Oryctolagus cuniculus: one gene and its partner. The protein of the gene in region 2 binds, or shares a complex with, the protein of the main gene of each other region. Links are inferred from orthologs where the notes say so. Each region holds a gene or a part of one and is shown on either strand. Other genes may lie near its edges.

Evidence for each region. The genes of interacting proteins can lie anywhere in the genome.
Region 1: HTATSF1 (region 2) and SF3B4 share a complex: the UniProt entries of both Homo sapiens proteins name them as parts of the 17S U2 SnRNP complex. The link is inferred for Oryctolagus cuniculus from reciprocal best matches to the Homo sapiens genes HTATSF1 and SF3B4.

The regions. Positions count from the first base shown.
Region 1 is NC_091438.1:48,025,907-48,030,271, forward strand, and holds the start of SF3B4 (splicing factor 3B subunit 4), read left to right. Parts: upstream 1-1,300; 5' UTR 1,301-1,389; coding exon 1,390-1,423; intron 1,424-1,859; coding exon 1,860-1,988; intron 1,989-2,564; coding exon 2,565-3,107; intron 3,108-3,424; coding exon 3,425-3,631; intron 3,632-4,365. UniProt on the Homo sapiens protein: Component of the 17S U2 SnRNP complex of the spliceosome, a large ribonucleoprotein complex that removes introns from transcribed pre-mRNAs.
Region 2 is NC_091453.1:114,293,270-114,297,495, reverse strand, and holds the start of HTATSF1 (17S U2 SnRNP complex component HTATSF1), read right to left. Parts: upstream 2,838-4,226; 5' UTR 2,704-2,837; intron 2,455-2,703; 5' UTR 2,446-2,454; coding exon 2,260-2,445; intron 584-2,259; coding exon 403-583; intron 1-402. UniProt on the Homo sapiens protein: Component of the 17S U2 SnRNP complex of the spliceosome, a large ribonucleoprotein complex that removes introns from transcribed pre-mRNAs.

The DNA.
Region 1 (4,365 bases), on a different chromosome or scaffold from region 2:
AATACTGCAGTGTTTTGTATATGGCCTTGTTGCCTCAGCTTTCACACTCCAGCTCTTAAGCAAACTCACTTAGAATTGAGTTTGTTGTGGACGGTGGTGCTAATCTTTAATTCTTGTCCTTTTATTTGGTTCCTGAAGCTGTTGTTTCCTGGGAGTTGAAGAATTAAGAAACAAAACAATCCACAATGTAATTGCTTTATAGATAGCCAGCTATTTAAGTTGTGACACCAGAGACGCTGTTCACCAGTTCCAACAGTATGGCCTAAAGACCTCATTCTTGCCCCTTCTTGCTGCCTATTTTAATTCCAATTTCTGTTTCTTCCTGTATAGTTTCTTTTGGAAACAAAGTGGATATGAAACACACCCTCTCTTCCAACTGTACATTTTTGTAGTGGCATTTCTATTTAAGTTCATTAAAGCACAATATTTATACACATTGCTGGCACTGATTCTTGGATTTGAATGAAGGATCCTAGATAGCAAAGACTTGAGAAAAGGTCCCCATCGTATGATTTCTAAGAAAGGAATGGATTTGGACCACGTGAGGCTCAGAATTCTCATCTCCCATTTAGAGGCAGACAGCCAAGAGCATATTATGACGTTGCTGGGGCCAGAAAGTGCTCTTGGAGTTGCAGCTTTGGTCACACTCCATCCGGGGAGCCTCAGATTCTGCTCACACTCCGGCTCAGACATTACCTCGAGCCAGCCAGAGGCATGAGGCCAAAACTAAGACGCTTGTGGAGCAGAGTCCTTAGGTTGAGGGGTCCCTGAGAACCTTTTCCTTTGGGTGACAAAAGGATCAGCTGGCTACAAAATACACGAAGAGTTACTATTTTTAGCTTGAAAGAGAGGAACAGACAACTTCCATCCGCTGGTTCACTCCCCCAAATGCCTCTAACAGTCGGGGCCATGCCAGACGCAGACCGGGAGCGGGGAACAATCCAGGTCTCCGACATGGGTGGCAGGGACCAAACTTGGGGTTTCTGCTGCCTCCCAAGGTGTGCATTTACAGGAAGCTCGAGTCGGGGGAAACCGGGGCTCGGACCCTGTAATTCTTGACTGAGGATGCTGTGGCTTAACCGCTGTGCCAAACGCCCGCACCGGTGGGAGACGTCTGGCACTGCTTTCAGAGGGCCTGCGCTTTCCTGCCCCGCCCTCCTCGCTACGACCGCTCGCCCCGGAACCTCGGCGCAAATCCAAACGCCTCTGAACCGGGACGCCACAGCACCGTCAAGTCCCGCGGGATCCTAAGATGGCCGCAGCCGCTTCCGGCCCCGCCCCCGTCCGGGCCCCGCCCAGCGTCACGTAAGTCTTCGCCCCGGAAGTGGAAGTAGTGACCGCGGCCAGAGGGCGGAGCCGCTGCTTGGAGGCGGCGGGATTCTTTTCGCCATGGCTGCCGGGCCGATCTCCGAGCGGAACCAGGGTGACTGGGCGGGGAGACGAGTCCGGAATGGGCCCGGGAGGGTGGGAAGCCCCAGCTAAGGCCAGTAGCGTCTCCAAGGCGGGAAACTGGACCCCCGTCCCCCGGAGGGCGCGAGACTCGCTTCCGTGGCTGGTGCGGGCGGGTTGGCCGGGTGCAGGCTGAGGCCTGGACGTGTGATGTTTCGTGCAGTCCCCCTGCTGCCTTTTCTGAGTGGGACGGAATTTGCAGCAGACACTAAAGTGAACTTCAGAAGGGGCTCTAGGTCCTGCGAAGAGGACGATTTAGGGCTTATTTGGATGCTTTCCACCTCCCCCTTTTCGCTTCTGTCCCACATCCCCGCCTGCAGTTCCTCTAACTGGGTTCCATCTTTATGTCCCGGTCAGCTCCTTTCCTGTCATATTCGTCCCCATCCTAAATTCCTGCATCCTCCCTCCAGATGCTACTGTGTACGTGGGGGGCCTGGACGAGAAGGTTAGCGAACCTCTGCTGTGGGAGCTCTTCCTGCAGGCAGGACCGGTGGTCAACACTCACATGCCGAAGGACAGAGTCACTGGCCAGCACCAAGGTGAGTCCGCGCCAAGAGGCCACTTTATGTATCTGACAGCTGCTCCTGAGGGTCCCAGCGGTATTTATACTTGTTTCAGAATGAGCGACCAGAAGATTGCTTCCTCTTCTTTTCTCTTTTTTAAAGATTTATCTATTTACTTGGGAGGCAGAGTTACAGACAGAGAGAGGGAGAGACAGAGAGAGGCCTTCCATCCACTGATTCACTCCCCAAATGGCCGCACTGGCCGGAGCTGGGCCAGTCTGAAGCCAGGAGCTTCTTCAGGTCTCCCACCCTGGTGCAGAGACCCAGAGACTTGGGCCATCTTCTCCTGCTTTCCCAGGCCATCAGCAGGGAGCTGGATCAGAAGTAGGGTAGCTGGGACTTGAGCTGGCGCCCATATGGGATGCTGGTGCTGCAGGCAGATGCCCAACCCACTGTGCCTCAGCACCGGCCCCAGATTGCTTTCTCTTAATCCTCAGTTCACAGTTTGTTTCTAAAATCATTTTCTTGTTCTTTGTGATTGGAGGGTGGGTGAGTTTTACCCAGTTTCGGGTATCTTCGCTCTAGTTGCTAATCTCCTCTCTGCCTGCTTAGGCTATGGCTTTGTGGAATTCTTGAGTGAAGAAGATGCTGACTATGCCATTAAGATCATGAACATGATCAAACTCTATGGGAAGCCAATACGAGTGAACAAGGCATCAGCTCACAACAAAAACCTGGATGTCGGGGCCAACATTTTCATCGGGAACCTGGACCCGGAGATTGACGAGAAGCTGCTTTACGATACTTTTAGCGCCTTTGGGGTCATCTTACAAACCCCCAAGATCATGCGGGACCCTGACACAGGCAACTCCAAAGGTTATGCCTTTATTAATTTTGCTTCATTTGATGCCTCGGATGCAGCAATTGAGGCCATGAATGGGCAGTACCTCTGTAACCGCCCCATCACCGTGTCTTATGCCTTCAAGAAGGACTCCAAGGGTGAGCGCCATGGCTCCGCAGCTGAACGACTTCTGGCAGCCCAGAACCCACTCTCCCAGGCTGATCGCCCACATCAGCTGTTTGCAGATGCACCCCCTCCACCCTCTGCTCCCAACCCTGTGGTATCATCACTGGGGTCTGGGCTTCCTCCACCAGGTAAAGCTTTTGGTTCGCAAATACGTTTGTCTTGGGGCTGCAGTGAGGAGAACAAAGAACCTGGAAAGGGAAGATCTCCTGAGTCAGTGGGTGATGAGAAGGGAGTTAGGAGGTGGTGGGTGGGAGGGGTGTGAAGAACTCTGTCGGGCTTCTCCAGGGAGGTAGGATTATTTGAGTAGTGCAACATGGCTTGTGACCTTAGAGCACTGGGAGGAGGGGGCAAGAACTCACCCTGCATAGACAGGTCAAACTGGGACAGGTTCTTTAAAGGCATTCTTTGCCCACCGCCATTAATCCTTCTTCTGATTTCTATATAGGCATGCCTCCTCCTGGCTCTTTCCCACCCCCAGTGCCGCCTCCTGGAGCCCTCCCACCTGGAATACCTCCAGCCATGCCCCCCCCACCAATGCCTCCTGGGGCTGGAGGACATGGCCCTCCATCAGCAGGCACCCCGGGGGCTGGACATCCTGGTCATGGACACTCACATCCTCACCCCTTCCCACCAGGTGGCATGCCCCATCCAGGTAGGTGTTCTTGGCTGGGAAAGGGAGGGATGTGCGTGAACGAACAAAATGCTCTCTTTAGTTTACTACTTACCACCTGTCCTGTTGTGTAAGTCTTTCTGCAGAGTAGCCTATACTTGCTGTTTGTTTGTTCCCTGTTGTTTCCCTTCTCTCTGACTCAACCCCAGAGCAGTGGTCTAGGGGATACTTCGACTTCTTAGATGGTTTGCCCTCTGCTGTATTTGAAACTAGCTGTGTACTCCTGTTTGAAATTCTTGTCTGTTTTTTTCATCTGTTTTTTGGATTCTCCACCTGACACCTCAGTTTCAGTCAATTTGATAAACTGATTTTTCTCTGGGTCTAGATTAAGTATACACTGATGTCTCCTAGTCTGTATCTCTAGTTCATGATTATTAACAATCTAAATCCATAATCCTGTTGCTCAGTGGACAGATCCACTTTTGTACCTCTCCCCTTCAGACCTTTCTCTTTTTAAAAAAATACGTGTAGGGGCCAGCGCTGTGGCACAGCAGGTTAACACCCTGGCCTGAAGCTCCGGCATCCCATATAGGTGCTGGTTCTAGTCCCGGCTGCTCCTCTTCCAATACAGCTCTCTGCTATGGCCTGGGAAAGCAGTGGAAGATGGCCCAAGTCCTTGGGCTCTTGTACCCGCGTGGGAGACCCGGAGGAGGCTCCTGGCTCCTGGCTTCGGATCGGCACAGCTCTGGCCATTGCAGCCTATTGAGGAGTGAACC
Region 2 (4,226 bases):
AGAATTCCTCCTAGTGTCCCACATGGGTAGCAGGGGCCCAAGGACTTGATCCGTCATCTGCTCCCCTCCAGAATACAGATACAGGAAGCTGAATCAGAAGCTGAGGAGCCACAACTTAAACTGACACTCTGATATGGGGTGCCGGGTTCCCAGTGGCAGCTTAACCTGCTGCACCACAATACCGATCCCTACTTAAACATTTTCATGGGCTATAGTAAAATTTTTCAATATACAAATAGAGCATAAACTAATCAAATCAGGTAATTATGAATCTGCCATTATTTAAATAAAAAAATCTTGCCATTTGTTCAAAGCTATTATAAATCTCCAAAAAGTAACTCTATGTATACATTCACACTTTTAAGTTTTTACACTCATATTCTGCAAGCTAGAACTACTTGCCTGACTCGGATTTTCTTTTTTCTCCCTTCTTTCTGGGATCAGTGGGTTCAGGAGTTTTTCTTTGTGGAGGTTCCTCAGCAATCCTAGTATTGACATCTTGTATGTTTGCCGTAGAACTAGATGCGCCATCATTAGAGAAGCCATAATTGGCCTGATATGTAGCAATGAAATCTTCAGTGATCTAAACAAGAAATTTAGTTCATGCACGTGTGTGCATACACATACAAACACATGCACAGAAATTCAGTTATTTCCACCCATAAACTTCAAACTGTGTCATATTACAGACTATTTGGCTATATAACTTACCATCGAAGACGCTGCGTGAATAATAATTGTAGTTGTAGTGATTAAAGTGTAAATCCAAGAATGGTCACCTGATACAAATACTTAAATTATCAAGACAAAAGTCTGTGGTACTAATAAAGCACTTTAAGTGATGTTGGTCCCTTTTCTAGTTGATGCATTTATAAATTACTACCTCTCCACAGTCTACTGACTAAGGCTACACATACATATAACAAAGGAAATACCAGGTAACAATACGACAGGATAACAACCTACAGTCAACTAATAAGCTAACCACAAAATCCACTTTTTTTACTGTATAGAAGCACACATATATTTCCACTTAATTATTCAATATGTGAATTCAAAGAGCACATAGAATGGAAGTGTGATGTGGCATACAAAGAATGAGACTCATAATTACAAAGCTAAATGATCATTTGAAATCTATCACTAATGAAATCACCATTTAGAATCAGAATCAATTCAGGGCAAATCCAACTAGTTTTGGGGGGAAAATGGACTATTATATAATGTTAGAAAAGTGCTTATAGCATCACACCAATTCAATCAACATTCAGTACACACATGAATGGGGAAAATTTAAAACTCAAAGTTTGAAGAGGTAAGGGCCTCAATAACACAAAAATGTAGAACGATAAATTAATCCACTACCAGACTACTGTTAAAAGTACTCAGAAGGCTGAAGAAAGCCAATTTGCCTCAAGCTGACACTACCTGTACTTTTGTAAAATAGCAAATTTTAAAAAGTTGGAGAACTTTCAATATATACAAATATAAAATGGGAAAGAAAAGTAGAAATGAAGACTTTTTCACAGATCAGTCTAATCACACAATGGAGACACGCTGTGTTTTGTTGGTTTGCATGTCTTGGTGTGCTATTAGTAGTCTTTCTGGCCTCCACAGGAGACTCAGAATAACAGAGTGCTTCTACAGCAAAGTTTACAGAACCAAGTTTCACTAGTTATGTTACTTCCAAGCAGAAATAAAATATCTAACAATTTCTCAGTACTCCAAACTAACATGCACACATCTTTTCCAACCATACTCTGCGCATCCCTCATTGTATTCTTGTGGATGTAAAGTTCAAACATAAATGCCTAAGGACAAACGCAGCAGGCAGAGAAAGCAAGGAGCAAACAAAGTTCATTCAGCACAAGTATATAAACAGCAACTTTTTGTAAACGAAGACATATGCTAAACGTGAATTCCTACGATAAGTGAGGTAAGCGAGGGCGGCTATCTGAGATGATCAGCTACAAAATTTTTTGTGTGTTTTTCCTCTTTGCAATAAAAAAGTCATCAATAGAATAGCCAACTGTGACCTTCACAGACAAAATAAAGCACGGAAAAGGCATTTAATACCCCATTCGAAAGATTTACGTTCCTTTACACATCAACTCTGCAAAAGACACAACAAAAACAAGCGTCACCATCCAGGGGGGTGAGGACCACAGACCTGACTGAGTGAGCACAGCAAATGTAAAAGTGCTCTGTGAAGCTGGCCAGGCGGCCCGCTCTGCAGTGGCGCCAGTGCTACTCGCTTACCTTGGGGAACCAAGCCTTCTTGTCTAGGTCCCACTCGTACGGGGTGTCAGCCGCCTGCTGCCCGAAAGAATCGGGTTCTCCGCCGGGATCGTTCTGGGTGTCACCCTCCTTGGTGTCTCCGTACAATTCTTGCATTCGCAACTGCTCATCAAACTCGTCGTTCCCACCCAAGTTGTTGCCGCTCATGTTTCCTACCTAGCCCAGAAGCAGGGTTCAGACGAGCGAAGAGGCCGAAATGACGCCAGAGAGGGGATCTGAGAAGGAGGTCGGCCGTGCTCCGCTCCCGCCCCGCGGCCCCCCGGCCCGCCTCCCCACGGCGCCCCAGCAATCCCCGGGAAGTCGGGACCGCTCGCCGCCGCGCCGCCCCTCGCTCCGCGCGGCTGTCCGCCCGCCCACTGCGCGCGCGCGCGCCGATCCTCTCAGCTCGGCTCCGCCACCGCCCACCTGGCTTGAACCACCGGGCCTCGGCGGCGCCGCCGCTCGGTCCAGGGCGCGGCGAGAGCGCGCACGCGCGCCGCCGCCACCGCCGCTCGGGTCTGAGACGACTGCAATTCTCGCGGCAGCGTCAGGAAATGACTTCAAACGGAGCCCTCCTCAGGCTGACGCAGTCGCCATTGTGGGCGCGGTGTGACGTCCTGTGTCGCGCCGACACGCCTACCATGACGTCAAAAGGTGCCGACGAAGGCCTGAGGCGCAGGGTCCGGAGGGGCGGGGCGCCAAGGAATGCGCGGCTGTCGTGCGTTGATGACCACCAGGCCCTTCCTGTGGACGAGATGAGGTCCTTTAGGGCAATGCAGTCCCTTGGGGGCCTTAGGCCCCGTGGGTCTTCGGAAGGTTCGGCCTGGCTGACCTAGTCCGGGCGGTACCCCAAAGGAAGGTGTGGGAATACTGCCTTGCAGTGGGCGCCATCTTGGGGGAGTGGGTGGGACCGGCAGGACAGGTTTCTCTCGCTTCCTTAAAACGCAAAAACGTCGCGTCTCCGTCGCCCAAAAACTCTTCCCTGCTTCGGTGTCATGTCTTTTACTTATTTGTTTCTGATTGCCCTGGGATAGGCTCCGGCTCTGGCTCATCTTGGTAGCCTAATCACCTGCTGCAGGATTTGCTGTCTAGTGTGCAGTGACTGAATGAACGAACAAACCAAGGATAAGCACAAGGATCAACCTTTGCCTAATCTCAGACTCCTGTTTGATCGTCTCATGCCTTCCTCTGGACGAAGAGTTGGACTCTGCCTGCCTCGTCCTCCAGGATTCAGAAGTGCTCAAGCCCCAAACTTGAAACGTAAACATAAACATCCCAGTGTAAACACAACCTGTGCTGGCCCAGTAACTTTGTCTTTCCTTTAGAAAGATACAGCACGCTTTTGTTCTAAACAGAACTTTTTTTTTTCCCTGCAAATTACTTGCTTTGCTGAAAACGAAGAAGTCCATATTTGTCACTTGGTATAACAGTTATTGAACTAGTAAGTGTCAGGCAATGTACTAGGCTCTGGTGACTCAACAGTCAACAAGATGGGCACAGCTCGTGGGAAACAGGCTCAGGAAGGCTAATAAATCTGACAGGAGAGGTATGGGGTGCCAGAGACAGTGGTTCTCAAACTTTCTGATCACAGGATCGCTTTACTCCCCCAAAATACTGAAGAGTCCAAAGAGTTTTTGTTTATATGGTTTATATTTACCATTATTTCCAAAACAGTCATTTTAATGAGTATTTATTAGTCCATTTAAAAATGACAGCCCGTTAGGTGTTCATTGAGGATGGAGAAAAGCTCCTCAGAAAAAATTATTTCTACTATTCCAGTGACATTTGCTTCGAAACTTAGCAGCTGAGTATGAATTCTAGAAAATCCTGGCTCCTCACATGCCAACTGTGTGAATCCATGTTTCAACCATAACCATAGTTTTTGAAATAGTAGTTTGGGTTTGTATTTGTTTATATTTTTGTTTTAAGTACATTTCTGTTTCATTACA